Linked DNA regions of Canis lupus familiaris. The protein of the gene in region 3 binds, or shares a complex with, the protein of the main gene of each other region. Links are inferred from orthologs where the notes say so. Each region holds a gene or a part of one and is shown on either strand. Other genes may lie near its edges.

Region 1 (6,130 bases), on a different chromosome or scaffold from region 3:
GAGGATGAGGAAGCTACAGTCACAGGGCAACAGGGTAGAGGAATCCCAGAGAGCATGTGGTGTGGTGGAAGCCAGATACAACAGAGTATGTGTATGTAAAATTCAAAGACAGGGAAAACTAATCTAAGCTATTAGCAGTTAGCGTAGAATGGTTATCCTCGGGAAGGGTGCAGGGCCTGGAAGGGATATGAGGGAATTTGGGGAAACTAGAAAAGCTCTGATTCTCAATCTGGGTGCTGGTTATGTGTGTGTTTATTCACTTTATGAAAATTTACTGACTTGTACATTATGATTCATGTTTATGTAATACTTCAATAAAAAGATAACATTAAATCAAAGAGAAGGTCCCAGTGGGCCCTGTTCCTGGTCATCCCCTTCCCATCCCTCTTAGGAGATTCCCAGCTTCTAGACTACAGATACTGCCAATTCATAATCAGCTCAAAGAATCTCCCTTCTAATCCCTCAATGAGAATTTCCCATTTCCTCATCATCTCCCCTGGTATTTGGAAAGGGCCAGAAAATTTAGAGACCCACAGACTCATGGCATGGGGAAAGAGACAACTTTTCCCCATAACACTCTCACCAAGTGGTTGTCTGTATTTAGAGTTTATATATCCCTAGTAGAGGAAGCAGCTCTTTTTTTTTTTTTTTTTTTTTTTTAAGGAAGCAGCTCTTACTCTAGAAAGTCTGTCCTTGCTTTGAGCTTTAGGTGACCCACTGGAAACTCACTGTTTTGGCTCTGTCTTCTAAACCTTCCTGGGGTAACTTTACCTAGTACTCACCCACTTGAGAACAAAACAGGAAAAGGAAGCATTTACTATCTGACCTGATCTATTTAAATATTAGCCTATTTGCACTGACCATTTCAAAAGCCAAAACTTCTTCAAACATGACCATTAAAGCAGTACATGTGGTAACCAAATTAAAGCTCTGATTATTTTTTTTACAAAAGAATCTTCCCTAATAAATTAGACAGAATCAGACATTGCCATTTTTGCAAACTCTAATGAAATGATTAATTCAGGCGAAGATCCTGAAAGGATGAAACCATGAAAGGCTGGTGCAAGTCTTTACAAGACACCATCAGACTCACTCACCACTTGCCACCCATTCACTCATCCCTAGACTGTGACCACCTGAGAGGACCAATGACTAATGGGGGCCAAGTTACACTGTGCTTGGGGATGTGATGCCATATGAAGTACACTGCACCTCCTATGAAGTGTGTGTTGTTGTTTTTATTTTTTAAGATTTTATTAGGGCAGCTCAGGTGGCTCAGCGGTTTAGCGCTGCCTTCGGTCTAGGGCGTGATCCTGGAGACCTGGGATTGAGTCCCACATTGGGCTCTCTGCATGGGGCCTGCTTCTGCCTCTGCCTCTGTCTCTGCCTCTCTCTCTTTCTCTCTGTCTCTCATAAATAAATAAAATCTTAAAAAAAAAAAAGATTTTATTGATCCATTTGAGAGAGAGACAGTGAGAGAGAGCACAAGCAGGGAGGAGAAGAAGAAGAAGGCTTCTCGCTGAGCAGGGATTCTGACTCGGGGCTCAATCCCAGGACCCCAGGACCATGACCCAAGCCAAAGGCAGGTGCCTAACTGGCTGAGTCACCCAGGTGCCCCCATGAAGTGTTTTTTAACTCCTTGCTTCTGAAAAGAAGTTGATGCAGAATATAATTAAGACTTCAGAAATATAGGCAATACAGAAACAATTAAAATGATGCCATAAATGATGCCACATTTAACAAAACTCATCAGGTTATACACTTAATATCTACTGTACGCAAATTTTATCCTAGCTTTTAAAGAGACTTAAGGGAGTAACAAGTGAATGAAAGATGTAAATCATGCAGAGACTGTGATTCCAACATGCTAATGGCAAAAAAGATTTTTTGAAAGGTCAATAGGGAAGTGTATCTATTGACTACTACGTGAACACAGTAATTGTTAATTTTGAGAGTTGTTATGAAAGAAAATGTCTTTTTTAGAGTTATGGATCTACAACTAAGATTATGAAAGGTCTAAGATATGTTTTAAAATACTTTAATTAGGGATGCCTGGGTGGCTCAGTGGTTGGACGCCTGCCTTCAGCTCAGGTCGTGATCCCGGGATCCGGATCGAGGCCTACGTCAGGTTCCCTGCAAGGAGTCTGCTTCTTCCTCTGCCTATGTCTCTGCCTCTCTCTCTCAGTCTGTCTCTCTCATGAATAAATAAATAAATCTTAAAAAATAAACAAAAGAAAATACTTTAATTATAGGTATTTATGAGCCAAGTGTCATAGCGTCTGCAACTTCCTTTCAAATGCAACTATAAAAAATGTATATTTATATGTAGAGATAAAGATAGAGAAGTAGAGACTAAGAGAGAAACAAAGATCAAGAAAATGTGGCAGATTGTTAAGATTTGGTGAACCTAGAAGGGAAATGGTTTTCACTATAAGATTCTTTTTAAAAAAAAAAAAATTTACTTATTTATTTATTCATGAGAGACATAGAGAGAGAGGTAGAGACAGAGGCAGAGGGAAAAGCAGACTCCATGCAGGGAGCCCAACGCGGGACTCGATCCCAGGACTCCAGGATCACACTCTGGGCCAAAGGCAGGCACTAAACCACTGAGTCACCCAGGCATCCCTATAAGATTCTTTTTAACTTTGAATGTTTTCCTCAATAAAAAGTTGGGAGAAATACTTCAGTAACATCGAAGAAGAAAGAGAGGGAGAGAGAAAGCAGAAGAAGGAAAGAAGGAAGGAGAGCAGAAAGGAAGGGAAGGGAAGAAAGAAACAGGAAAAAAGAAAAGAAAGAGAAGAAGGGAGAAAGGGAAGAAGGGAGATAAAAATCTCAACAATTCTTTAATCTGGGTGATGGGTATCTGGAGGGTCATTATACTCTTATCATAGTTTTGTATATGTTTAAAATCGTTGCTAATAAAAAGTTAACTTAAAAAAAAAAAAAAGGCACAGCAATGATCTGGCCCTATTCCTCCCCAGTGCAGCAAGGTGGCGGCTCCCACTATCCTGAGTCTGCAGATAAGGAAGCGGCTGAGAGGTGAGAGGCCTTCCCAACCATACACACTGGACTTGGACACAGCTAATCGTTGGATCCCAGAACCCACGCTGTCTGACTTGGAAGCACCCCAAAACATCATCTCTCCAGGGAGAAACTCATGCTAACTCTGCTTTCAGCTTCTATACACACCACAGTAAATTTTCTACCACCATCCTATGCAATGATAAAGGCCAAGTCGTATGGTTCAGACAAATACCTCTTCTCTAGTACCTGCTATCTTTCCAGCAGCATTTCTTCCTGCATCCACTTCCTCTGTCCTAGCAGCCAAACCCACAACCAGATTCAACTCCCTGCTGGCCCTGCTGCTTCCCAACTCACAGCTCTATCTGTAGCTCTTCAACCACAGGCCTCAGTCAGACATTCTGGCTCTATTTTCCCTGGCTGTGTGCCCTTGGGCAAGTGATCTCACGTCTCTGAGCCTTGGTCTTCTTACCTGTAAAGTGGGGCCAATAATAGCACTTGCCTCATTGCATTGTTGTGAAAATCAATTGAGATAATGTAAGGAAAGAACTTAGCATGGTGCCTGGCACACAGTAAGTACTGTGTAAACAGTCCATTTCACAATCTGGCCTCATCTCTCCCTCCTTCCCTTCCTTACATGCATCTACTTACCCACCCACCATCCCTAGTCTCCCCTCTGTCTGGCTGGCTGAAGACTACTACTGCCTGGGCCAGGCCATGGCTCATGCACTGTAGTGATGGTATGACCCTCGGCAGCCCATCATCCCCACTGAGTGCCCCCTACCCCAGACTTACCCCCTGGGAGTGCAGATACTCCACGGTTTTGCTGATGGTGTGCAGGACAAAGCTGGCCTCCCGCTCGGAGAAGAATTTCTGCCGCAAGATCTTGTCTAGCAGCTCCCCACCCCGCATCAGCTCTGTCACCAGATACACGTGTTTGCCATCATCGTACACCTGCCAGAGACCTCATCATCAGGTCCCTCCTCTCCATGCCAGGCTTGAGCCCCCTGGTTACCCGGTCACTAGGCCAGGAAAGAATGACATGAGCCTTGGACATGTGTTCTGCTCTGTGCTTCAGTGGCCCTCACAGGGGCTTCACTTATCTGGGGCCTTGTCCTCCCTAGACAGGAGGATGTTGGCACTGGTCCACCAAGGGGCAGTGAATGCCTGAGAATGCCTGAGCCTGAAGTGGAGGGACTTGGGAAGCAAGGATCTTTTCCTCTCATGAGCAGAGGAAAATTAGAAATCAAAGGAATGGTAGTCCTGAGACAAATCCCAGAGTTGAGTGCCCCAGCCCCATCCCAGTCTCAAGGACCCCACTTACGTCTTTCAGAGTGATGATGTTGGGGTGCTGCCCATACCGCAGAAGAATCTCAATCTCTTCTGAGGGATCCCGCTTGCTCTTGTCGATGACCTGAGGAAAGAGAGTACATGGGCAATATCAGGAGGACAGTCTCCAGAGTCCATCCTTGCCATGGAGCCCACCCTGTAGGCCTTGGGGGACAGTCTCAGCCACATAACTTTCACTCACCCACAGAGCCTAAGGAACCAACCCTCCCCCACCAAAGGGCCAAGACTACATTGGCCTCCCCCCACAGCCCAGCAGCCTTGGCTGAGACACGCTCAAGAGGCTCACCTTGACAGCATACTCCATATTAGTGGCCTTATGTACACAGCGCTTGCACACGGAGTAGGAGCCCACACCAATCGTCTCCTTTACAACGTAGCCATCGCTAAAAACCAGGTTTTTCCCGTGGAGTTGCTGTAGGAGAGAGCAACAGGTGGGGCTGATCCTCTACTCTAGAATGTGGGGGTCATCCCCCAGCATCCAAGGCCTTGGCTCAGTGGAGGTGGCACCAGGCAAGAGCCAGAGGCCTGGGGCAGAATCTTGGTCCCGTAACCTTGAGCAAGAATCTGGCCCTTTGGGCCTCAGTTTTCTACTCTATATGGGCACCTGCAACGGCTCCAGGCTGTGGTTAGACAGGGGTGAGGGGGGCAGGCAACAGAGCCACAACACACTCATCGAGAGATCTGTGGCTCTGAGGAAGCAGGGCAGGCCTGAGGGACGCAGGAGCCCTGAGCTGGGTCCCAACTCTGCCACCTTCTGTGAACTTGTGTGAGTTGCCTCCCCCTTCTGGGGTGTCATAGCCCACCTCATGAGGTGTCTTACAGTTCTGAGCCATTCATAATAGCAAATGCTTCTGTGGTGCCTAGTGTGTGGCCCTATTCACAGTACTTTTCAGCAGGTGACCACATGACCCCTGGTTCAGGCTTGTTGTCCTTGTATCCAGTCTGGTTTAATATTTGTCCTGGGGATGCCTAGGTGGCTCAGTGGTTGAGCATCTGCCTTCAGCTCAGGGTGTGATCCTGGAGTCCCGGGATGGAGTCCCACATGGGGCGCTCCCTGCATGGAGCTTGCTTCTCCCTCTGCCTGTGTCTCTGCCTCTCTCTGTGCTTCTCATGAATAAATAAATAAAATCTTTAAAAAAAAAAAACTTTGTCCTGGACAAAGACCTCCCTATGGTATAATATATTAGTCACCTTAACTTTACACATACAAACCACCTATGGAGAAATGTTCTATCATCACCCCCATTTACAGCTGAGGAAATAGAGCACTGGGAAGGTAACTGTCTCATCCAAAGTTCCTTACCTTGGAAGCTCTGAACCCCGGCAGTAAGCTCATGCCTCTCAATTCTAAATTTCTCACAGGGCTGGCAAAGTGTACTAATGGGGGACAAATGGGAGGAAACATGAGCCTTCTCCCCAGCCCATCCTTGTCAGGGACCTGACAGCCACTCCACAGCATCACAGCAAGGGCACCCCCTTACATGTATTTATCTAGGCTCTACAAGGTCCCTGGCTCTGCTGGGAAATGCATATCCATGTTGTCATCCCTGTTTTACAAACAGAGGAACTGGGGCCCACAGAGGTTGGGAGGTCCAATGGACCACACAGTGACAGTCAGGGGTTGAACTCCGGAGCCTGTATTGTCAGCCGTTCTGCCTTTGTGGCTTCTAGGTAGGAAAGACAACTAAGTGGCAGTCTCCTGCCCCCTCACCTGTACCACTGAGTGCAGTGGTGCCTGTGGGGCCCGAGGCTTGCCGTC
Region 2 (6,130 bases), on a different chromosome or scaffold from region 3:
TTAAGTGTACTCCAGAACACTTCAAGTCCAAATTAAAAACAACAAAAAAAGTAGTGAATTCTGAATTAAGTATTTGTGGTTGGCACAACCACCCCACCTATCTAGAGAGCATATATATACCTCAACCATGAGGAGTTACAAGAAAAGCAGATGGCATTCATCATATTGCTTAGGAGTATGTAAATTAAAGCTTTCCCTTAGAACTGATAAAACCCTGAAAGCAGCTAGAAATGATAACTGACAATAGAGTTCTGGAGACTATGTCCATATTAGAGCATTTCTGTCTTATAACACAACAGAATATCCTTGAGGATGAGCCAAATTACCTAAGTATTGAAATTATTTTCTTTAAACTCTGTATTTAGGAGTGTATTTATTTTAGGAATACAACCATCACAAATGTGCACACATTCATATTAGCTCTTGAGTAGTAAACTCTAGTTAACTGGGAAACACGTTTGTTTGGAATCCTTCATTCTTTGATAATACTAGGTAAATGAAGCACTTAAAAAAATTAAGGGGGGGGCGGTGGCATATATAAAATAGAATACAATCTTCAGGCTTTAATATAATACCCTAATAGTACAAAAGTATCTACAAGGTTAAAAACAGAGAAAATGCCTTCCTAAAAAATCATCATTACCATCGACAGGAAGAGAATCTCCTGCATGGTCAAAGGACCAGAAAGCAGCAGGGGGTCTGTTCAGAGCTCATCAGTGCACCAGCATCAGAGGGAAACACCAGGGAAACCCACATTCTGCACAGTTTTTCCTATTTTATTTCAACCTGATCCTATTGTTAAATATTACAAACTAGAAATAACAAAATAAACTCCATTTCACTGTCCCGTAACTAAACAAAAACACTGTGACATATTTAAACATATCTCTCAATCAGCAAAAATAAAAATGAAAACTTCTTGGTTTTTCCTATGTTCCTTAAACATATAAAATAGTAAATGTTATTTCACTTGAGCTTACAGTACATTAAAATAAAGGTACAACAGAATAAAGCAGTTTATCTGGATAATAAAATCTAAATTCATGGCAAAAAAGCTGTGGGGTAAAGATTTCCATTTTGAGGAGGAAGGAGTCACTCATATCCTGGATGAAAAAGCACTTATATACCCAGTCAATTTTTAGTCTAGTCAATAATATGTTGACTCAAGTTAAACTGATCAAACTACCCAGGCGGTGCTGATTTCTAATCAACAGCTAAGGTGACTGCTGAGTAAGGTAGATTCACTCACTAGTCTGTCCTGTGCCTCCATGATACATAAAAAGGCTAGATTCCAAATGAAATGCCAAATTCTTGATTAGTTGTAGTAAGAGCTTAACGGAACCCCCATGGTTATTTTTTTTAAAGTGCTAACAGAGTAAACATTTAAACAATAGTTAAATTGTAAATCTCATTTGCTGATTTCACTTAAGACTAGTGCCACAACCTGTAACAAATTTAATAACAAACATCTATTGTATTCCCAGCTGAAAATTATCTTTCTTAAGGAAGATTTTCCTTTTATTCACATAAATTCCTTTTTTATGTTTTTAGTTTAAAACAGTAATTTCAAACCATGTTTAATCTATGAAAAATCTCAAGGGGAAGTCAGCATGTAATTAATTCAAAATGGTGGACAAATGTCTTACATTTTAGAACACTTTGTTTTTCCTGTGCATATTGCTATAGCTGTTTCTTAAAAAACAAACAAACATGAGCTTATGTAGGCAATTGTTAAGACAAGGCAATAGCCCAACTACAGGAAAATTGAGATTTTTTCCTTGATTTCTTCTTCCTTACCTATTCTTCACCAGTATAATTTTCTATTTGACAAGGAAATAGAAGCATTGAATAGAGGTCTTTGAACAAAAATCTATGCCTGTGACAATTGTGAAATTGGGAAGCTTCTAAGCAAACTGAGCAAAGAAGGCAGCTATTTAAAGAGTTTCTCATAAACACTTTAGGAGACAGTGACAAAGCATCACAAAATTAGAGAAAGCCCATTTAGGGGGTTCTTCTGGAGATTTAGAAAGAGCAACCACAGAAATATTAATGGCAATCAAAATCCTGTCCCAGAAATTTGCATAATATTGAAAAATCAACCTTATAAAATGTGAAATCCATGTTGTATTATAAAATTCTGTAAATTGCAAGCTTTTCTTTTTTTTTTTTTTTTTAACACTTTTGATAAAATAGTTCTTTGGAATCTCAAGAAACCAAGGAAATGCCAAAAATTACTAATGGGATTCCACTGACAGAATAATTAGGGGAGCATAACAAAATGGTTATAAATGAAACTGTTCTATGACTTTAGAGGCTTGACAGTCCCACCCAAGATCACCAGGAAGGTTTTGAACTTTTCACAGCTCAGTACATTCTGCAGCTCTACAGACAAAGGAAGAATGAATCAATTTTTCTCAATACTGATATGTATAAATTTAAGTAGTTTTGATGGATGATCACAAACAGGAAATAATGAAGAAATATGTAAGAATGTTAACTGCAAGAACCTGTATTTTCAACTTTTGGGAAATAGAGTCAGAAGAGGTTAAAAATGTGACCCCCAAAATATACATACCAGGTGGGTAAGTCTACAAATAGCAGCCAAAGAAATATTCGATATTTCAAAAGCTTCTAAGATATATAGTTGTAAGAAAATACTTTGGTATTTCAGGATGTCCAGAAGGCAAATCCAGATCCTTACTGATTTGTACACCTATCTTTTATGTAGGAGACACAGCAGTTCGAGAAGTTTTTGAAGAGACTGGTATAAAATCAGAGTTCAAGTCCCTCCTGAGCATTCGGCAACAGCACGCCAGTCCTGGAGCTTTTGGGAAGTCAGATATGTATATCATCTGTCGCTTAAAGCCATATTCATTCACCATAAATTTTTGCCAGCATGAATGCTTAAGGTGTGAATGGATGGATCTCAATGACCTGATCAAGACTGAAAATACAACTCCTATCACCAGCAGAGTTGCTAGGCTGTTGCTCTATGGGTATAGAGAAGGCTTTGACAAGATTGATTTCACCATGGAAGAACTTCCGGCAGTTTACACAGGCTTGTTCTATAAACTCTATCACAAGAAACTGCCAGACAATTACAGAACTATGACAGGAATGAATTAAATCCATATTTGCACATTTTAAAAAATCTTAAGTAAATTGTACGTGCAGAAAAATGTGTGCCATATTATAAAAAGTAGTGGACATTTGGGGTTAACTAAATATCTGATTTTAATTTTCTCATGAGTATAATTTACATGAAGAAAACTTACTTGAAGAAAATGTGCAAATTTTAAAAGCCTCTTTTCAAATGAAGCAAATGTAAGAAAAAGATTGTAGCTCTAAGTAAGCTTCACTAGATAAAGGCAAATGCAATATAAAAGGTGGAAGTCTATACATTTTCCAGGCATTTTTGTTGCTTTTTCTTTAGTAAGGCAATGATTAAATATTTACTATTAGATAAAAGGTTATCTGACCATTTATCCAAACAGAGCAGATCACTGTACACATTTTTTCTTTTCTTCCATTAACAAATTTCTAAAATATACGTCTTCTTTCATGTGAAATGAGATAAGATGCTGCCATTTAGATCAGCTCTTAGCAGACATTGGAAGAAAAAGTATAGCTTTCTGCCCAGGTCCTGTTTTTGGTCCAAGTTTATACTGCCCAGTTCGTTTCAGTGCCACATACCAACTGGAGTATTTCCTTGACCGGTAAGTATTGTAGTTATTAGATTCCAATCGTTCAAAAAAGAAGCACTCGTCAGTAACACATTTCTGAAAAATAAAGGAAGAATTAATAGTTACTATTATATTTTCATATGAAATACTTAGGATAGTACACTGTCCATTCTGCTCAATCAGCAGTAGTGCTCTTGGCTTGAGCAGGACAGACTAGTTTGCAAGACTCAACAGGCCAAAGTCAGACAGGATCTAACTCTGTAGAGGGATGCAGGAAGGAACACAGCAAGTCAGTGGGAGAGCTTTCAAGCACATCTCTTCAGAGGAAGACTCCAAGGACCAATGTCCAGCCCCCACAATGGACAGGCCAGGTATTAGGCAGCAAGAGCACACCGCTGCTATAGGAACCACACTGCCTCAGACTGGAAACATCCCGTGAATGAACACAGATTTCACAAAGGGGGATACGCCCAGTAACAAAGAGCGCAGTACACTTAGTGGTTTCCGGTTAGGTATTTATGGTGCATCCATAGTCCTCCCAGTCCAGAGGCAGGTTACCGATTAGGGATCATTTTTCTTTTTATCAGGGTTCCATGAAAGTGCTAGAAGAGTAACCCAGAAGTACCTTCCTAAAGAAGAAGGGCTTTGTTGCTACTTTACTCACAGAAACAGAATCAATTCCTTAAACTATAGCAATGCTTTCCTAATGGTTAATGTTTCTAAGGCATAAAAAGAACAGTTTATTATACAGAAAATAGCTAATGTATATAATGCCAAAAAAAAGTATTGGAACATTACATCTGATGAATCATTATCTGTTAGTGTTTTGAGACTACTAAGTAACAAAGACCATACTGACTTCTGGCAGTGTCTTTCTTGTGAGAGAGGAAACTACTCTCCCTTATCATTTAGGTTCAACTCTTTACTGGGGGTGGAGGATAGCTAGCTTTACAAATAATTAGACCTGGAAATACTATTCCAAGTAATGGAGTCTAATAGGCTGCTACGTTATTTCAAGTAAATGTTCAAAAATCAACTTGACAGGTTAGACTGTTGATAGTTTCTGACCCCTGGGGTGTGTGTTGGGTGGGGCGGGAGGGTGTCAACAAATAATTTACTATAAGGGAAGAAAGGAAAACTAATTTACTTTTTATATTACAATTAGGAAGAAAAAATTATAAACTCCTATAGAAAACCATATAAATTTATACATATTTGTATCTTTACATTTAAGTACAACATGCATACATAGATATATGATATCAGCCTATATTTTTGTATTAATGAGTGTACCAGATTCCAGCTTATTTCTACTACTCAAATCTAGGAAACTTCAGGTTTAGGAAAAGACACATTCAAAAGACTTTTTCCAGATTCTTTAGTTCTTAGATAAACAGTGGCACAAACTGAGAAAAACGTAAATCAATAAACAGAACAATGAAAAGAGCTGACATAATAACCAAAATGCAAATGATCTAAATGGGAGTAACAGTCCGTCTCTGTTATCTAAAGTGTGGTATTCGATCTTATAATTTGCTTCTAGGGATAAAAATTTAACTGGATATTTACTTGGCTTTAATGTTTTTGATCACTGTTAACTTTTAAGAATGGCAATACGAATTTATCTGATTTGCCCATTTTTTGCAAGAAATTACTAATAAAGCAACTTAGTCTTCTGATGCAAATAAATGACAGGTAGCATTACAGAGAAGCACACATTGCACAAGGACCCAGCTCTGTGATAAATGTAAAGATTCAAGTGTGATAATGGTGAAACACTTATACCTAGAAAAATGTTGATGGTCCATGGCCAATACTTCCACTTTACCTTTGGTGAAATTTATTATGCTTTTCATTTAACATAAGTCAACCAGTGTTACTTTATTTTGTCATCTTTCAGTACCACTGATAAAAAGTCTTCCTCTTTCCCTATTCCAGGTTTAAGATCAGGAGTAAAAGAAGTAGGTTCAAGAGTGAAAAAAAATCATGGTAATCATAAAGATAATTATAATTGAGCTTCTCCGGCTAATTTCCCAGAGGAAGACCTAAACCACATCATTCTGGACACTGATTTTGGGGTGCTCTGTCAGCCTCCAGGGTGCCCTCCTTGCTAAGTTGGCACTCCCTACAATGACAGACCTATTGGGATATATATTAAGTCAACAATATCTGCCTTCTCAGCTAGCTCCTACTATTTCAGAGAAAAGTAATAGTACCAGTGATTAAGTGGATAATACATCATGAATCCACTTTTTTTTTTTAATAGAAGTTACTTGTACCTTTACAAAAACAAAGGGGAGGGAAGAAAAACTTGCACCTGTGAATGTTCAGATATGTAAATTTACTAAACTATTACACACTTGAAAACAAACTACATTTTTCAAACTACATTGATGGGGGTATGTCAAAGAGTATAGGAGTCAACTGGAAAAGTTCCCAATGGCCAT
Region 3 (4,651 bases):
AATCTATGTGCTTCGTTAGAAAATATTCACTTAGGGGTCCCTGGGTGGCTCAGCCAGTGAAGGTCAGACTCTTCATCTCAGCTCCGGCCTTGATCACAGGATGGTGACTTCAAGCCCTGAGTTGGGCTCCACACTGGGCACAAAACCAGTGAAGACACGGAAAATAAAATAAAATATTCACTTAATGCCAAAGGAAGTGATAAAGGAGGATTCACAGAGGCATAAAACATGAAATGTGAATGGGTGAGGGGCGCCTGGGTCGCCCAGTCAGTTGAGCGTCAGACGCTTGGCTTTAGCTCAGGTCATGATCTCAGGGTCGTGAGATGGAGCCTCCCCCTGCATGAGGCTCTGCCCTCGCATGGAATCTGCTTGAAATTCTCTCTCCGTGTCCCCGCCCCTCCCCCTGCTTGTGCTCTCCCTCTTTCTCTGTCTCTCTCTCTGTCAAACAAAATCTTAAGAAAGAAAGAAATCTCCAATCAATAACCCAGTTTTCTACCTAAAGACACTGCAAAAAGAAGAGCAAACAGCCTAAAAAGCAGGAAAAAGAAAGAAAATAATAAAGGTACAAATTAATAAGCAAACAATAGAGAAAGTCAATGAAAAAACTGGTTTCTTCAAAACTGACAAAACTTTAGGTTGACCAAGATAAAAGACACAAATTACTAGAATCAGAATAAAAGAGGACCTTGCCACCAACCTTACAGAAAATAAGCAGTAATCTAAAGGAATACGTCAAACTAGACGAGCGCACAGATTCCTAGACAAAAGTTACAAAACCTGACGCAAGAAGAAAAATCTGAACAGACCAATAACAAGTAAAGATAATGCGTAAGTAGTTAAAAAACTACCCACCGAGGTGGCTTCACCGCTGGAATCTAGCAAACATTTAAAGACAAATTAATGCTGGTTGTTCACAAAACTTTCCTAGAAATGGGAGAGGCCACTGTCCCCGGCTACCGTTACACAGGCTGGGAAACGAGGGATCCGTGTCTCTTACAAACATGGTCACAAAAACCCTCAAAAAAAGTAGCAAATAAAATCCATCAACACGCAAAACGATACAAAGGAATCCTAGACCATGACCTGGGGGATTTGTCCCGGGAATACAAAGTGTATTTTGTGAGAACACCCGATCAGTCGAATGAGAATCAAAACCACACGATCAGTGAAGTAGAAGAGCAGTTTACAAAATGCCAGACTCCCAGGATAAAGGGCAGCGACGGCCCCCGCTCGCCCCCTGCTTGGTGGTGAAAGACGACGCCTGCCCCTCGGATCAGGACGGTGGGTCCGGGGATCACACGCTGTGAGGCCCCCGGGAGAGGAGGTGGGGGCCTGTGGTGTAGACACCCTCCAGCAGCCTTCCCTGCGAGGAAGCTGCAGGCGGGGGCCCGGCTGCCAGGAGCCCAGGACGGGAAGGCCCGTGGGGGCCTGGAGCGTTGGGATGCTGGGTACCCCCACCCCGTCCGCTCCGGACGCCCACCCTACAGGGAAGGCAGGCACGATTCTAGAAGGATCTAGGCCGACGGAGCTGTTCCCCTAACTTCTCAGAGGGGAAGGATCAGCTGAGTTCTTGAAGCAGCCTTGCCGTCGGCCCGGGCCTGGGAGGCCAGGCGGCCATGGAACGTGGTCCTGGCGGGTGTTTGTGTGCAGGGGGCACCCTCCCTGCGTGCACGCCTGGCCTCGTGGGGCAGGATTCGGGGCGTTTCTACTGTGAGGGCTCCTCCAGGGACCTGCTCCTTAGCAAGGGGCCCTGGCGGCGGAGGCCCTGGGGCGTCAGGCTCCAGCCCTGCAGGGCCCGCCCGGGCTGCCACACACCCGCTGCACCCTGCTCGGCATCCCAGCTGCCCTGTCCCCCGTCCTCTGCGGCAGGAAGGCCTGCGGATCGCCCGGCAGGGACTGCGGTGTAGACACAGATCCAGGGGTGCAGGATGGGCCGTCCCTGCACATGGTCCCTGCGCGCTGGCTTCCGCCACCATTGTCTCCGAGTCCCCCCGCCCCCCCTGCCCCCCAGCGCTGCGTCCAGGGTGGGAGCCTCGGCCAGGGTGTGTCCCACCCGGTGCTGGCCTGCCCTCCGGCCCTCCTGCCCCCACCCCGCCGCATCTACTCCCTGCCGCCCCGGCACATCCCAGGGTCCCGGGCCCTGTGCACCCGCCTGGCTCTGGGGGGCCTCCTGTGCCTGCCCCTTACTGCTTCCCCCCCTTTGCAGCAGTTTCCCTCCAGCCTCCTGTTCAAGGCCACGGGGACCCGTTACAATGCTCTCTTTATTCGATGCAAACACAAGCGATCAATTGGCTTATGGGTTTCCAGGTCTGTGCACGTAAAGAAGCAGCAGGGAAAGGGGCAGAAAAGGTTAATCTGAACTTTCCCGGAAGTGACTTAATACTTGAACGTTTGGATTCGTGGGTACCCATGTGTGACGTCGAGCTTCCCACGTACTCGGGCTCCACCAACCGCTGCGGGGCAGACCCTGTCTCGGCACAAGCAAGTGAGGAACGACACCTGCGCTTCCCAGACAGGAGGGGAGGCCAGAGGGGCTGTTTGCAGAACACCTGTGTGCGGAGGGGCGTGGACGCCCTGCTGGGAGCCGCGCTCCTGCCTCGGCACCAACGTGTGACCCGGGGCACAGGAGCCCCGCTGAAGGTGGTTAGAATGCGGTGTCGGCCCTGACAGCCGGGAGACCCGCCCCCCCTGCCCCCGCCCAGTGCTGTAGCCCTGTTTGCTGAGCTCCCATGGCTCAGCGGGGACCCGGGGACAGCATGCCCTGGCCGTCTGGCGGCAGGCGTGTCAGGCCACCTCCCGACCCTGGGTTTCCTTCGCACGGATGACAAACCCATTTTAGGAAAAGGCAGGCTTCTCACAGGATACGGGGCGAAGCTGCGTCTCTAACTTGGTACTTTGGACAAGGACCCACGTGCGTCCAGAGCCATCCTTTGGGTCCCGGCAGCTGCGTTGTTGGGGGGGGGGGGTGCGCGGCCCTGACCACGGGCGGAGCACACACCCTCCTGAGGATCGTGACCGCGTCGCACGGACCGTCAGCGGAGGATGGGGGCCCCGAGGTCAGCCCCGGGAAAGGGGGTCGGCGTCTCCTCGACAAAGCACGTCAAGCTTCCTAATCAGCTACACGGCGCCAGGGACTCGGCCCCGCTCCGCTTCCTGCGCGGCTGCGCCTCACTCGTGCTCGAAGAACTCGTGGCAGGCGGTGGTGACCATAGCCACGAAGGCCACGAACTCCTGGAAGTCGCACTCGCCGTCTCCGTCACTGTCCAGTGTCTCCATGACCTTGTCCACGACCTCCTGCTCCTTGATCTCCTACGAGAGAGGACAAATTGCGCCGCCGCTTACGATGAGCCGAGGCCCGCGGCGCGTCCCTGACCCTCGGCCACCGCAGCGACGTGTCCGCAGCAGAGAGAATGTTCACGGGGCGGCAGAGGGGCCGGGGCCCCAGCGTCTCCCCCACCGGACGCTCCCAGAAAGGCACCGTGGGACATGCGGGGTATGTGCCCCCGCCGCCCGCCGTCGCCGGGCTCACATCCAGGGGGCCGCGGAGGATGGCGTCATGGACAGAAGCACGGACTTCTGCTTCTCCCCGAGCTCCTCACTGCGTGTGGAAGTCCTTCCCGCAGGTTTCGGGGTTTTTTTGTTTTTGTTTTTGTTTTTGTTTTTTTTATGATAGGCACACAGTGAGAGAGAGAGAGAGAGGCAGAGACACAGGCAGAGGGAGAAGCAGGCTCCATGCACCGGGAGCCCGACGTGGGATTCGATCCTGGGTCTCCAGGATCGCGCCCTGGGCCAAAGGCAGGCGCTAAACCGCTGCGCCACCCAGGGATCCCCAGGTTTCGGGTTTTGAAAGTGTTTTCTCTGCAATGACCCCCGGCCGCGCTCACCGTGAACTATTTTATAAACTGGTTCCCACGTGCTAAGCTTTTAAAGCTGTAATTTTAAATCAATGATTTGCTGATAAAATCAATAATTACTAATCATTTTAAAACCAATAATTAATATTTTTAAAAATCAATGATTAACAGTTATTGAAAATTACTTGTTGAGCTTCCAGTGTATGTTGGGCACTTGACAAACACTGTCTCCTTTCATCCCGAGAACAATCCTGTTCACAGAGGAACCAGGGGGTTTGGGTTGTTAGGTCAGGAGGTGGGAGGGATGGGCTGAGGGGCGTGCACCTCGACCCCTGCCTGAGAGGAGCGTCCTGGGTCCCCCAGGAGTCGCCCCCGCTCTGAAGCCTGCAGGTGCTTCCCCTGCCTTGGGGAGGCGGGTCCCAGCGAGGGCGAGTCCGTGTGGGGCTGTGGTGCTGCCTCGCTGTAGGGGGGGTCTGGGGGGACGGAGAGGGGCTGGGGGGCCTGGGAGGACAGGAGAATGGGGAGATGGGGACTGGGGGCACTGGGGGGATGAGGGCACTGGGGGGCCTGGGGATCGGGGGGCGGTTCCCGAGCGTGAGCAGGGCCAGACCCCAGCGCTCCGGCAGCGTCTCCGGAACCAGGTCGTGGTCAGACCTTCACGCACCGGCTCATGGCGTGGCCGTTTCCCGCGTGTGGGGTCCGACGGGTGACCTTCGGGGCGGCCAGGGCAGGCAGGTGCCCTGGGACTGCAGTTCATGGCCTCGAGGGCTCGGGCCTGGGGTGCGGGGGACACGCGG
Region 4 (6,784 bases), on a different chromosome or scaffold from region 3:
TTTTTTCGCCCATGGTTACATGGGAAAAACAGTAAAGTGCAAAGTACAAGGCTTCTGATTCAGACAAACCTGAGTCTGAATTTTCTGACAAATTATAATACTTTGCTTAGCATTAAGGCTAATCCTAATAAAATAGATGTTCTGGGAGAAATTATAATAAACCTACACTCTTAACCAAAGATGGGGCATCTGAATTTGTACCTGCTTAGGCTTTATGCTCCCATCTAAGGATTTTTTAACAGATTCTATGAAAACTACTCAGCTAAACCAAATGAAAAAAAGGAAGATAAAAGAATAGCAGTATTAACACTAATTGATCACTTGTCAGAAAATACCTATTGCAAATAAGCTCTAGCGTTTATCCTATGACGGTAATAAATCATCTTATTTGATGATTATTAGTTTATTAACTAAGGAGGTAATATACATTTTAAAAATCCAGCTTAAATGTGTATTTTTTCATGAGCTCTGAGAGAGCCCTCAAATTTCTGTATCTATTCACATTTTCCACATCTCTCCTAAATAATTTTGATAAACCTCTTTCTCAAAAAAGTGCCTTAGAGATGATATAATTGTCTAAGCTTAAAGCATACAGACTCATTTCTCAGTTATGGTATTTTTGAGGTGGTTCACAAATATTCTACTAGTTAAGCTGAAGGGAAAAATATGCTAATTGCACTTTTTTTTCCGGCCTTAAATTCTTTCTGCAATTGTTTTAAAAATGCTGAATCATGAAATAAAGGAAACAGACAGTGCAAGGACCCCAAGCAAGTAGTTTGTCTCATACTTCAAGTTTCCTAATTACAGTATCTTGTCATTTTGGTCTTGTTAAGCATTTGGAACCAAGTAACTGAAGACTCTAAGTGAATAGAAGAATACACTCATTGTTATTCTCAGAAACTAAACTCAAGAATAAAACTAAAAGCATTTATTTTGCAAGTTATTTTATACTTTCAGCTTCCTGTTTTATTTAGGCAGCTCATCATGACCATTTCAGGTAACAATGTAGAAGTTAAAAAACCCAACTTCCTCTTTGTAAAGTGATAAAAACCCCAAGCAGTTACTTAAGAGAATGGTTGATCTTACCAGCTTTTATAGAAATAATTGCAAGGAAATCAAAGACTATCGACACCAAATTTAACTCTGGGTTCACTGTTTTTAGGAGATGCAACAAAGATAAAAAGCAATATTAAAATATATTCAGCATCATGACATAAATGCCTTAAAAACTCGAAATCTAATGCAATTAAGATCTTAAAAAGGATAAAATGGAAACTTCAGAGTTCCTTCAAGGAGGAATCAATACAAATTATGTCTGAAAATATCCCTGATTTTAACATTTTTTGGGGGGGGATCTCTGGGTGGCTCAGCGGTTTAGCACCTGCCTTCGGCCCAGGGCGGTGATCCTGGAGACCGAGGATGGAGTCCCACATCAGGCTCCCTGCATGGAGCCTGCTTCTCCCTCTGCCTGTGTCTCTGCCTCTCTCTCTCTCTCTCTCTCTCTCTGTGTATCTCTCTCATGAATAAATAAATAAAATCTTAAAAAATAAGCAAAATTTTTCTGTAATTGTACTTTCATTGTGAAAAGTTTATAGGAAAAGAATCTTTTTTTTTTTAAAGATTTTTAAAAATATTTTTTAACACGTTTGCTGTATCATTATTAAAATTAAGCAACAAAAGTATGCTAAGAGATTACAAATCTGGTCACAAATCTGCTGTTATAAAATCAAGACTATTAATGTTGTTGAACATTGTCATGTCTAAAGACATCTCAATTTGCACTTGAAATACATTTTCTCAAGTTTAATTAAAAAGGCATTCTAATTTTGTCATCTAGTTTTGTCAATGACAAAAACCCAACAATATTGGTAAATGTAGTATTTAGTGAAATTTTAACAATATTTTCCCTTAAAACAAGTGAACCATCAGTTCAGCTAACAAATGTAGGGTTATTGTGATTTTTACTATAATTTAATTTCACCGGCATCATAACTATTTGCCTTAGACTAGACATTTTATTGCAGATTCTGTTCGGCATAAATTCATATATGACACCCTTTTCTCCCCTAAGTTTTACACACAAAAATTTTCAAGAACGAGAAAATTTAACGCCAAAGTATTATTCAATGGCTTGTGTTTAGCACATTCTTCAGGGTTTCAAAATGACATGGCATACATAGGTATGACATATCAAACTACTCTGTACAGAATACTCTTGGGTCATTAACATTCCCTTGTGTCATCTCTTCTCTTGTATTAAAAAAGAAAGAGCCCAGATGCATTTATAGAGCACACAAGACTGCACCTTTTGTAACAGCCACTGTGGGAAATAAATAAAAGACATAACTCTTGTCCTATAGCGAGTCATCTAGTGAAATCATTCTAATTTCTGCAGGCCCTAAAATCAAGTATTTACTGAAAAGCCTGACAAAGCATTAAGAAAGCTGTACAGTTGTCAGCAAAAAGTCATTCCACCTAACGCAGAGCATGCGCTTGTACTTAAAACATTTTTAAAGAAGTAAATACGCAAATTACACACTTACAAATTTAACTATAATCAATGACACCACAGTGGAGCATCAAAGACGATGCTTTTGTCCAGACCGAATCTGTTAACCATGAAGTTTATGTGCTATATAAAACCTTTATGGAGTTTAAAAAAAAAAAAAAAATCCGCTGGCTATTCTTGACTTGTGAACAAGAAAAACTATTTTTCAAAAATTACCCTTAATAGTATGTAAGACGCAAGGGATGGAGAGTCATGGCTTGTTGTGTACATACGTGCAATCAATCAAGGGAGGGTCTATAGGTAAGAGTGGTGTTCAAATCCTGAGGTAAATATCCTAAGGCTTGCACATTTATTACTGAGAATTAGTTCAGCCAATAATGAGAAAAGTGGACGGGCGGGCAACACACGGGGACCTCTCCCTGTCGAGGAGTCGTGACAGCAAGATCACTTCCTGAGGAAGGAGGAGCAAAAGGGAAGTTAAGAGGCCACCCTGACCAGGAAGTGACTCGCCCTAAACTAGCCTCAATCATATCTAAAAATGGGGGGCTGGGGCGAGCCCCGACAGTTAAAGGCGGTAAAATACCTGCTTCCTGATCCGAGACATCACCATCCACCCCGCTCTTAATCACAGAAAAAGAGTCCACAGCCACGACTCAATAAAGGAAAGTCTTTCCTCTTCCGGGAAGGTCACTGGGTTGTCACTCGGGCCCAGAGGGAGAGAAAAGAGTTGAGGAATGGGGAACTGGGGCCACTGTGAGGCAGAGGAATGCCCCTAGAGACGGAAGTGTCCCAGCTGCAGCGGGTATGCCGCCAGCACAGCCCAGCAAGGTTCTTCCACCTGGGGACACTGCCAGGGTTTCCACCGCAGCCAGGTCAGGCCCCTGTTCCCTGTCGCGGGAGGACGCAAAAGAGAGAGGCGGACCCCTTACCTTCTCCTCATCCGACACCCGATCCTCGAAGTCGGCCATCTTGGGCTGCTCTGGCCCAGCCCGGCCCCGGCGCGAGGCAGGCCGGGAAGGAAGCTGAGTGATGGAATCACCGCGGGGGCCGTCGGAAGGACCCGCCCGGAAATGCCGGCCCAGAGGGCGCCATGTCAGTTACTGGCGGGGGTGCGGGTTCCGAGCGCCGGCCCTCGGGGAGTCCGTAGCTCGGCCTCAAGGCTGGTCCTTAAAGGATTTTAAGTCTAACAGCTTTCTCATTGAGTTGCATTCATGTCCCCATTCATCCAGGAGGCGCTGGGAGCGTGTTTCGACTACTGACGCCCGAGCTCCTTCCGACAAAATAGCGATGGCTACTATAGGTTTTCCCAGTACCCGTGATCTCCGTGGCAGCCGAGTCCAAAGGGTTACGTGCTGCTCGGGCCCTGAACCGGCCGGTGGCTATTCCAACCCCATAAACAGGGTTAAAGGTGACCCTCAGCCGTATGGAAGCAAAAACGTTTCAGCAGTCCGAGGTCACATCTCAGTCCAGTTCCTCCAGAATCGGCGCCGCTAGCCTCCCCTTCCCGCCCTCCGAAGGAAAGGTAGACTGGGACGCTCCTCCACCTTCCAAATGGCTTTGGTCCGCGTTCCTCGGACCTGAGCTTTCACAGAGGCCACCTTCAGGTCCGCCACTATCCCAGGATTCCCGACTCCCGGTTTCCTGCCCTTCTCCCCTCCCAGCTCCCGGAGCGTGCGGGAGCGGCAAGATGGCGGACGGCGGCGGCTTGGGTGAGGCAGCGAGCGCTGCGGCCGCTCCTCCCGCACCTACTCCCGGCCCGAGCCCGTCGCTGGGCTGGAGGGAGCGACTGCGGGCCGGGCTGGCGGGGACTGGGCCCTCGCTGTGGTTCGTGGCGGGGCTCGGACTGCTTTACGCTCTGAGGGTTCCGCTGAGGCTGTGTGAGAACTTGGCTGCGGGTGAGAGGCCCAGACCTCCCTGGGGACGGGGGCGGGGGGGGGAGGGGAGGGGGGAGGGGGGCTAGGAGAGTGGCTGGGGGCAAAGGGCAAAGGGCGGAGATTGTCCGCAGTCCCCGCAGGCCTTCGGAGAAGGAGTCGGCGGTGCGGGGTCCAGGGCGCTCTTCTCCTGGGCCGCAGGTCCGCAGCTGATTGTCAAACCTGAGCCTCGGCTATGGGCTCCTCCCTTGAGCTCTTAAGATCCGCCCTCCCGGTTCTGTCCTCGTCGACCCGCGCGCGGAAGAGCCACCTGACAAGCTGTAGGATTCAGGTAGCGCAACAGATGAGAGCGTTTTCCTATCGGCTGCAGAATTATATACACCCCCAGCACTGGTAGAATCCCTTGAAAATCATTCTTCTGAGTCTCTCGCCGATGAAGAGTTCCCACACCTAGACAACAAAGATGAGGGCTTATGTATTCAAAGGCCAAAAAGGAAAGAAAAAAAAAAAAATGCCGTGAACTTAGCCAGCCATTGTCTCATCTTGAGATAGTTCTGTCAAGAAATGGTTTTCGTGGTATTTTGGCCTGTTCTTTGCTGTAGGCTTTATCCGGAGTAATAAAACGGCACAGGAAGTGAAGGGAAAGAGAGCCACCAACAGTGATGGGTTCTCCTTTCAACGTTTATAGAGAGCTTGCTTTGTAGTCTGAGCTGAACATACGAGGACGTGTAAGAAGTGATGCTGATTCCCTGGATTCTGCAAATACTGCCCCTTACCTGTAGCCAGGGCAAAGCGGATGGGAGCCCAGGGCCTCTTACCATGTCTTGATAATATTTCCACTCAAGCTCCGAACAAGATGAAAGTACTTGTGCTGTGTGATGGCTGTGACTGTCCCTACCTGTGGTTTAGTTTTCTGTCGCAAGAAAAGGCACATGTTCCCTTACCTATTTGACAGGATGACATGAAATACTGTAAAATAATGTTCTGAAATATTTTGGACTTTTTAGAACATAGGTTATGTATATCAGCTCAGATATAAGTAACATATCAAAACAAACTAAATATATTGGCTGAAAGAGCTGATTTGGTGTCTCTGTAATGTTAATGAAGTGCTCACTAGTCATATGCCCAGCAAAAACTATTCGTTGACTTTATCATTTATTTTTCCATGTGTTAACTAGATACACCATTTAGATGAAAGTAGTTAACTATGATTGATTTTTATTTATTTCCGAAACCTGTTGTGTTTATGGGACAGTTATTTGAAGTGGAAAATCTGGTCCAGGCTTTCAGTGAGTCAGATGCAAAGATCTCTCTCGATCTGTTGCTCTTCTCTTTGGTTTATTTTGCCTCTCTAGCTGACATACCAAATACATGCACATGCTAATTCCTTCTAATTTAAAACGCTGGTTTGTATCCCACCAAAATAATTAGGGAGTGATTTTTAACCTCCTTTGTAGCAGAATGTTTATTTAGTTTATCCTTAGGGATATGCAAAACTTCTTACCAAAGTTACGGTTTATAATCTCTTAATTCTCAAAAGTAATCTAAATTATCTCATCTTTATTTGCTTATTTAACAAATTATCAGTTTAAAATGCTACCCTTACAGGTTCGGAGGTAATTTTTAAGATATGATGGAACGGGAATTTAAAGTGCCTTTTTAAAAGTTACAACTTTCTCAAATGAATCTCATACTGGATATTAACACTATTTATATCCCTCCGCTCATAAAGACTCCTGCATATTTGTAACTTGAGTATTTTGAATTTGCATTTTTTTAAACTTTGATTTTTTTTTTTTTTTTCCCTTTTGCAGTGACAGTATTTTTAAATTCATTGACACCCAAATTCTATGTGGCACTTACAGGAACATCTTCTTTGATATCAGGACTAATATTTGTAAGTAGTTTCCATTTCCTTCATGATTTGGTATTTATCTAAAGATCAAATATCGGGGAATCCCTGGGTGGCTCAGCGGTTTAGCACCTGCCTTCGGCCCAGGGCGTGATCCTGGAGTCCCGGGATTGAGTCCCACATCGGGCTCCCTTCATGGAGCCTGCTTCTTCCTCTGCCTGTGTCTCTGCCTCTCTCTCTCTCTCTCCCTCTCCCTCTCTCTGTCTCTCTGTCTCTGTCTTTCATTAATAAATAAAATCTTTTAAAAATTTTTTTTAAAAATAAAATAAAGATCAAATATCTTTATAGTTACCATAATTACACATACTTAAAGATTAGCATTCTCAATATGTGTTCAGAATTTGAAAAAAACACTGCATCTTCCTCTCCACTTTGAGAGACTGGCAGTATTTATTTGTATATGGAATACTATTGCATCCTGGAAAGGGTAAGGATTGGAGGTGGGTTCCCAACTAAATGCTTGCAGGGCCCAGTTTAGTAACGAAAGTG
Region 5 (6,739 bases), on a different chromosome or scaffold from region 3:
GGCCACTAGTATCATTTTCAAGAGTTGGGCTTCCTTGTAAAGGCAATGGAGGATCCAGCAACTAAAAGTTTGGGAGTACAAAAACAACATACTAAAACATGACTCTGACACAGGAAATTGGTGGAATTAGTCTAGAAAGTTTATAACAAAAAGCCTACTGTGGCAAATACAAAAGAAGGGAAAGGCCAACTATGAGACATTCTTCTGATCCTACTTGTCCTCCTCTGGCTTTATTTCTCCCTTAACTGTGTAGTCACAGAACAGGTATAGTCAATTTGTATTCTATTCATACCATAAAATTTTGTTACTGAACAATAGTAGTTAATAATGTAAATAATAGTTTAATAGTCTGGTCAACTGAGACGTAAAAAACTAAAATTAATATAAATGAATTACCTTTTCAAGCAAAAAGAAATTTTTTGCACAAGACACATTTTGATGATGGGAGCAACAAGATTCAGAAACAGACTCTAAGGTACAGAGCTCGAGGAGGCAAAAGTTAACATAAAGCTGAAGTTAAAAACCAGGATAACTAGAATAATGGAAATAGAGAAATAAAGAGAAAAATGAGCAGGAGATAGATTTCTGCCCCACTTGGTGTAGAAGGAAAGGGGAAGGGAGGGAGTTTATGAATTTACTCTTAGGAAGGTTCCGTCTGAACACATCTCATTAACTGTCTCCTGTGAAAAGGACGAGCCAATAAAAATGTGTGACTAGTGCTCAGAAGGGAAGTTAGGACTGAGCTATGTATTTGAGAAATGTTCATAAAAATGAAGCTATGGAAGTGGATCACTCTTATCATCAGAGAAAGGTAGGAGGGGTTATAGGGAAAAAAAACCAAAAAGATCCTTTCCAACTAATAACTGTCTTCCTTCTGGAGCTCGGGAGTGACTTTCCTCTGTTAGGAGGGGCGTGAAACGTATTAATTCTCCTGCTTTATACTGTAATTTCACATAATTTCAAATTCACAAAATTGCTTTACTCTACAATGCAACTAACCCCAGGAATGGAAAACATGAACTGTTTTTGGCCTAGAATTTCTAAACAATGTAAAAAAAAGTATCTCTGGGACGTGCTACCACAAATGAGTAACTTTAAAGAACATCACTGTGCTTCTTCAGATAATTTTATTTCCTATTAATCTAGTGGCCAAAGGTGAAAAGGTTATTAAATTTCATAGTGGTATCCTCACAAAGCAATTGTACATGATTTTAAAAAACAAAGATGTTATTCTAGATGAATCTTTATAAAATGCTTCCTACCTTAGTTTGCATATATGAAACTATACCAGTAGCATAAAATTTTAAAATGTGTAAATAATAAACTTTGTCCTAAAATAAACAAATTCAGTTTATAATGCAACACTATTAATGTTAGATATTTACAATTTTTAGTAAAAACAAAAAGAACTACTGTTTTCTCCTTTTCCAAAAGAAGTTGTCAACAAATTGAAAACAAAGATAAAGCCAGAAAAGATCCTATCATTCATTGTCAAGGGAGCGTAATTGTCACAACAGTACCAACTCTGGATTCAGACAGACAGGTATAAATATCCCCTCTGCCTGGACACCTGGGGAGCTCAGTGGCTGAGCGTCTGCCTTTGGCTCAGTACCTGATCCTGGAGTCCTGGAATCGAGTCCCACATAGGGCTCCCTGCATCGATGGAGCCTGCTTCTCTCTCTGCCTCTGTGTCTCTCATGAATAAATAAATAAAATCTTTAAAATATATGTATATATATTCCCTCTGCCACTTCTTACCTAGGCATCCTTGGGTGAATCACTTAAAAGCTACTGAAACCTTATTTTATGTACCTGTGAAATGGTATAATAAAACCTACCTCAAACTTACAACATATTAACAAATGTATGTACCGGTCTGGGCCACCCAATGTACGGGTATTATGTAAATTAACAGATTCCCTTCTTCAGATCTTCAATCAATAATGGAAATTCCAACAGCTTAATAGTATTAAAAGTTTATTTTTGAAAATTACAAATAAGGTGGCAGAAAAAGTAACACGATTTAAATATTAGTTTTAAAATACCAAAAATAAATACATAAAAATAAAATACCACCTTTTAAAATTTTATTTGATTCTATACCCAACCTACTCACAAAAGATTAAAAGAACATTTAAATAACTAAAGTGGCAAGTGTGTTAGCATTTCATTTCACCAGTTATTTGAATGTAACCCAGAAGTTTGGTCTTCTTAAATCACTAAATATAGCAATGAACTATATATGAAAATATCAACAAAATAGTCTTAGGAAACAACAAAAACACCAAATTCCTTCAAATTTTTTTTCTTTTTTTAAAATTTTATTTATTCATAAGAGACAGAGACAGAGAGGAAGAGACATAGAGGGAGAAGCAGGCTTCCTGCGGGGAGCCCGAGATGGATGGGACTCCATCCCCGGACCCCGGGGTCATGCCCTGGGCCTAAGGCAGATGCTCAACCGCTGAGCCACCCAGGCGCCCCAAATTTGAATTTTCATTCATTTAGTCTTAAACCACCAAGTTGGGAAAGCTTGGAGGATTAAGACACCCTCCTCCCTCCTCTTTAGGGAGTTTAGTGCCCTGAGAATGCCAGATAATGAGGAACCTCGTCAATTCATTTGGAGAAAACTTTGCCATTTTTAGGCCTTTACAACACACGGCAGGACTCTATTAACTGCCGCACTGAATTCTCTCTCCTCAGCCAGATTCTAGCCACTTAAACTACTAACCACTACTTAAGGACAGCAGAATGAGACCATGACAATCCCTTTAAAGACCTTTAGCACTAACTTTAAACGTGTGTGCTCGGATCCTGAACATTTTCTGTGGTGAACTCATGGTTATTTAACCTATTATAGCACAAGTGCACACTTCAGAGCAACTTTTGCATATGCAAGGGATCTGCCTGCCAGGTCCGTGAATTAGGGAGAACCTTGCAGCTCTCCCCATCTTGTCCTTTTATGATCACTTGCACCAAAGGGCTCAGAGGGAAGAAAAGCAAAGCAAAGCAAAGCAAAGGAAAGGGGAAGGGGAGGAAAGGGGAAGGGAAGAGGAAGGGGAAGGGAGGGGAAGGGAAGGGAAGGGTAAAGGAAAGAAGGAAAAGACAGGAAAGGAAGATTTCCAAAATCGAAGATGAGGCCCACTAATGCACATTTACATCGGGAAGGCGACAGGACATTACATTTTGGTGCTGGTTTACATCCCAGGCTATTAAAAAAACAAAACAAAACAAAACAAAAAAAACATGGAGCAGAGCTGTAACTGAAAATATCCTTAGGCTTTACATTAGGATTTCTTAAACACCCTGAAGTGTGTTTCATCCGCGGCTGTACCGCTTTGGAACTTAAAAAATAAATAAATAAATAAATAAAAATAAATAAATAAATAAAGGTGAACACTGTGAAATTAAGAGTGGACGCTTGGAAAACTGTAACTATCTCAATCCACAGATTAGGTCCCGTCAACGTTTCTGAGTTTGAGAAACGTCAAAGTTCTTCCGGGAAAATGCGGAAAATCAATACGCCCCCCCCCCCCGTTTTCCCCCCTTCCCCCCCTTCCCCCTCTTCCCTGGGGAATGGGCCCTCCTCACAGGGAAAGGGGGGGGGCGACCTCAGAGACCCAGTTTTAGGATCAGATTCCTTTTTGTTCGAAATCGCTTGAGACTCTGGGGCCGTTCGCGAGGTTTCGAAGCTGGCGCGGCCGCCACCACAGCGGCGCCGGGGCGGCCGGGCCGGGGCGGGCGGCAGACGGCGACGCGGAGCGGGGCGGGCGGGGGTCGCGGGGAGCGACTGGGCCGCCTCGCAGCCAACCGCGGAGCCGCACGGCTACGGCGACGGCCGGAAAAGAGAAACGGGAGACGGCGGGGGGGGGAGGGGGGGAGGGAGAAGAGAGACTTCCACTGGGAAAGGAGAAAAAAAAAAAAAAAAAGCGAAAAAAAAAAAAAAAAAGCGTCGAGAACCAGAAAAGGAAGCGTTTTGGCTTCTGGGAGGAGGGAGGAGGGAGGAGGCGAGGGTCGGCCTCCCAGGCGCCTGCCCCCTCAGCCCTCGGCCCTCGGCTCTCAGCCCGGCGGCAGCCGCCAGCCCAGGCCCCGCGCCCAGGCCGCGACCCGGCGCCCCCGCGCCCCCGCCGCCCCCGCCGCCGCCGCCGCCGCCGCCTGTTTCCAGAGCACACACCCTACAAGGCGCGGCGAGGCGCGGCGCGGCGAGGCAGGCCCGGCGCAGACCTGCCCCCGCGCGCGGCCTCCGTGACTGACAGCGGCAGGCGCTGAGGCGCCGCGGCGACCGGCGGGCAGGAAGGGCGGCCGAGGGCACACGCCGGGGCCCCTCCGCGGCCGCCGGCCTCCGCCGCCCGCGCGGCTCCTACCTTCTCCTCATCGGACAGCTGCTCCTCCAGATCCGCCATTTTCCTCCCGGCGACAGACCGCGGCGGCGGCGGCGGCGGCGGCCACCTGACTTCCCCCTCGCGCCGTGCGGTCCTCCGCGCCCCGCGCGCCCCCGCCGAGGGAGAGGCCCGCCGCCCAGCCCGCCGCGCACGCGCCCCGGAAGCCCCGCCTCCTCCTCCTCCTCCTCCTCCTCCCCCCTCTCCCCGCCGGCGCGGCTGTGCGCATGCGCGGGAAGCCGGCCGGCGCCGGGGGGCGGGGCCGAGCGCCGGGGGGCGGGGCCTGCCGCCGCGGGTGAGCAGCTGGGCCCGCGTCTGCGGCGGGTACATCCTGAGCCCATCCTGAGCCCATGCTGAGCCCATCCATCCTGAGCCCTCCATCGTGTTCCCGTCAAGCCCTCGGCTCTGCCAGCCACCCGGGGAAACAGCGGACGAATAGAAGCTTTGCAAGACCATCTGTTTTCTTCAAATCACTAGAAAAATATTCCGTCTTTATTAAAATATGCACGCACAGCCCAGCCCACACTCGGGACCTTGCTCTCGGTACAGTCAGTCGTGCATTCACTTAAAGAAATGTTAACTGGTCCTTTACCGTGTGCCGGGTTGGTCCCTGCAAATACACAAGGAGGAGAGAAAACCAGAGATCTCTGCTCTCCAGAGGCTCCCTGTCTACTCTGGAAACAAGCACTGAGCAGTTGGGGAGGGCGCTGTGCTATGGTGGGGGAAGACAAAGTTGTGTTAGAAGACGTGGTTCCTACTCTTCTGAACTTCATGGCGAGGTTGAAATCAGAGAGCCCTGTAAAATTTGAATTTCAGATGAACAGTGAATATCGTTTATGCATAAGTACCTCCCATGAAGCATTTGGGATGCACTGAGACGGTGTTGGTGGTTTTCAAATTGTATGGGAATCCTTTACTTTGATTTGCAAAATCTGAGAAGCTTACTCGTGACATTTCAAGTTCAGCAAAAGAGTGAAAATGTAGTAAAAACTGTGTATGTGAATTAGCTGGGGATCTTGTTAAAATGCAGTTACTGATTCTAGGAGGTCTGCGATGGGGCTGGAGAATCTGCCTTTATAACAAGCTCTCTCACACTTTTTAGCAAGGCCTGTAGAATTCAGATAGGACTTAAGACTTTATAATCGTTATGCTGTACATCTAAAACTAAATCAATGTTGTAGGTCAACTATGTCTCAATTTTAAAAATATTTTTAAAGACTTCATTCAGTCAAGCGCATGAATTCTATAATTTCTTTTAACTGTATCAAGAAGATGGTATTGGGAGATTTCTGAAAGGATTATCAGAAATGATACATAACTGCTGGTTGTGTCACTGTGAAGAGACGCATATAAAGTATCACCAAGATTATGAAGATAGTGTGACTCAAATTATTGCAAAGCATTACCAAATGTGGGTGAGGTTTCTAGAGGAAAAGAGCAGCCTGTTAGTCAAGCAACAGCATCTACTGAGAAACCCAGTGTGTACACATTAATATTAGGTGTTGCTAAGTAAACAGAAACAAACAAAAAACAGAAGAAAGGGGGAAAAAAAACCCAGAAGTAGAGTTGATGCAGCAAGTGGTGATGACTAAAACTGATAGTAATCAGTTGGAGAGAGTAATCACCTTCATTAGGTTGTATATGGAGGAGAGTGCCTAGACTTTAGAGAGGAAGAAAGATCTCAAAGTGCAACAACTTAGGATACAGAGTTAGAAGCCTGGATTATTCTTTTTTTTTTTTCAAGAGGCCTGGATTCTAATAGCAATTTAGTCGCTTGAGTGCAAACTTGAACAAATATTCAGCCTCGTTTTTTTCTCCTGGAAAATGGGTATAGTAATGCTGATAGATACCTTACTTCATGAGGTTGTAGTGAGAAATTGATGAAGCAATGAATGAATGACCTGTCAACTATAGAAAAATGAACATATTATTTATTTACATCCGATGAGGTCCCTGACCAAACCGTGTGGTTTATTCTCTATCATACCTTCTCTGCACCATTATCCTCAACAACACACCTGCTTTTTCCTTCACGTGTCAGCAAGCATCCCCTTCCTGTTCTCTCCCAGAATGGACTACAAGGTTTTCAATAGTATGGTTTCTGTTTGCTTTCCATCCACAAGAAACAATGATTTGCATACTCTGAACACTCAGTAAATTACTTAATAGCAGTGTTTTCTAGATTTATAGTGACTTGTGTGAAGGTACTTTCACATGTGTCATTTACATGCAGCAAGATTGATCTTGCTGGGCATGTTTCTAATGTCGTGTTACTGTTCAAAAGTTGTTGACAGCTACTCATTTCCTACTGAGTGAAGGGATTTATTGGTTTGTTTTTAGAAAGATTTTATGTATGTATTTGG

What was found.
Region 1: the proteins of S100B (region 3) and RPS6KA1 are in contact, whole or in part, in a crystal structure (PDB 5CSJ), measured with the Homo sapiens proteins. The link is inferred for Canis lupus familiaris from reciprocal best matches to the Homo sapiens genes S100B and RPS6KA1. Residues at the interface, in NP_006263.1 of Homo sapiens: Ser42, His43, Phe44, Leu45, Glu46, Ile48, Val53, Val57, Ala84; in NP_002944.2 of Homo sapiens: Ala697, Met698, Ala699, Ala700, Thr701, Ser703.
Region 2: the proteins of S100B (region 3) and FGF2 are in contact, whole or in part, in an NMR structure (PDB 2M49), measured with the Homo sapiens proteins. The link is inferred for Canis lupus familiaris from reciprocal best matches to the Homo sapiens genes S100B and FGF2. Residues at the interface, in NP_006263.1 of Homo sapiens: Glu47, Ile48, Lys49, Glu50, Gln51, Glu52, Asp55, Lys56, Cys85, Phe88, Phe89, Glu90, His91, Glu92; in NP_001997.5 of Homo sapiens: Arg164, Tyr166, Cys167, Lys168, Asn169, Gly170, Gly171, Phe173, Arg186, Lys188, Asn243, Asn244, Tyr245, Arg262, Lys267, Gly275, Gln276, Lys277, Ala278, Leu282, Met284.
Region 4: the proteins of S100B (region 3) and CAPZA1 are in contact, whole or in part, in an NMR structure (PDB 1MQ1), measured with the Homo sapiens proteins. The link is inferred for Canis lupus familiaris from reciprocal best matches to the Homo sapiens genes S100B and CAPZA1. Residues at the interface, in NP_006263.1 of Homo sapiens: Glu46, Glu47, Lys49, Val53, Lys56, Val57, Thr60, Phe77, Met80, Val81, Ala84, Cys85, Glu87; in NP_006126.1 of Homo sapiens: Thr265, Arg266, Ile269, Asp270, Trp271, Asn272, Lys273, Ile274, Leu275.
Region 5: the proteins of S100B (region 3) and CAPZA2 are in contact, whole or in part, in a crystal structure (PDB 3RM1), measured with the Bos taurus proteins. The link is inferred for Canis lupus familiaris from reciprocal best matches to the Homo sapiens genes S100B and CAPZA2. Residues at the interface, in NP_001029727.1 of Bos taurus: Ile37, His43, Phe44, Leu45, Glu46, Ile48, Lys56, Val57, Thr60, Phe77, Met80, Ile81, Ala84, Cys85, Phe88; in NP_001013016.1 of Bos taurus: Thr267, Lys268, Ile269, Trp271, Ile274, Leu275.

What each region holds. Positions count from the first base shown.
Region 1 is NC_049223.1:72,902,113-72,908,242, forward strand, and holds part of RPS6KA1 (ribosomal protein S6 kinase alpha-1), read right to left. Parts: coding exon 6,083-6,130; intron 4,784-6,082; coding exon 4,658-4,783; intron 4,436-4,657; coding exon 4,346-4,435; intron 3,976-4,345; coding exon 3,817-3,975; intron 1-3,816. UniProt on the Homo sapiens protein: Serine/threonine-protein kinase that acts downstream of ERK (MAPK1/ERK2 and MAPK3/ERK1) signaling and mediates mitogenic and stress-induced activation of the transcription factors CREB1, ETV1/ER81 and NR4A1/NUR77, regulates translation through RPS6 and EIF4B phosphorylation, and mediates cellular proliferation, survival, and differentiation by modulating mTOR signaling and repressing pro-apoptotic function of BAD and DAPK1.
Region 2 is NC_049240.1:18,219,226-18,225,355, forward strand, and holds part of FGF2 (fibroblast growth factor 2), read right to left. Parts: intron 4,542-6,130; exon of another isoform or gene 3,780-4,541; coding exon 3,594-3,779; 3' UTR 3,127-3,593; coding exon of another isoform or gene 2,729-3,126; 3' UTR 1-2,728. Other genes in the region: NUDT6 (nucleoside diphosphate-linked moiety X motif 6), read left to right, coding at 2,729-3,126. UniProt on the Homo sapiens protein: Acts as a ligand for FGFR1, FGFR2, FGFR3 and FGFR4. Also acts as an integrin ligand which is required for FGF2 signaling. Binds to integrin ITGAV:ITGB3.
Region 3 is NC_049252.1:39,765,819-39,770,469, forward strand, and holds the end of S100B (protein S100-B), read right to left. Parts: intron 3,310-4,651; coding exon 3,169-3,309; 3' UTR 2,223-3,168; downstream 1-2,222. UniProt on the Homo sapiens protein: Small zinc- and- and calcium-binding protein that is highly expressed in astrocytes and constitutes one of the most abundant soluble proteins in brain.
Region 4 is NC_049238.1:63,670,275-63,677,058, forward strand, and holds the start of CAPZA1 (F-actin-capping protein subunit alpha-1), read right to left. Parts: upstream 3,933-6,784; 5' UTR 3,478-3,932; coding exon 3,439-3,477; intron 1-3,438. Other genes in the region: ST7L (suppressor of tumorigenicity 7 protein-like), read left to right, coding at 3,933-4,404, 6,198-6,280. UniProt on the Homo sapiens protein: F-actin-capping proteins bind in a Ca(2+)-independent manner to the fast growing ends of actin filaments (barbed end) thereby blocking the exchange of subunits at these ends.
Region 5 is NC_049235.1:55,890,646-55,897,384, reverse strand, and holds the start of CAPZA2 (F-actin-capping protein subunit alpha-2), read right to left. Parts: upstream 4,508-6,739; 5' UTR 4,401-4,507; coding exon 4,362-4,400; intron 1-4,361. UniProt on the Homo sapiens protein: F-actin-capping proteins bind in a Ca(2+)-independent manner to the fast growing ends of actin filaments (barbed end) thereby blocking the exchange of subunits at these ends.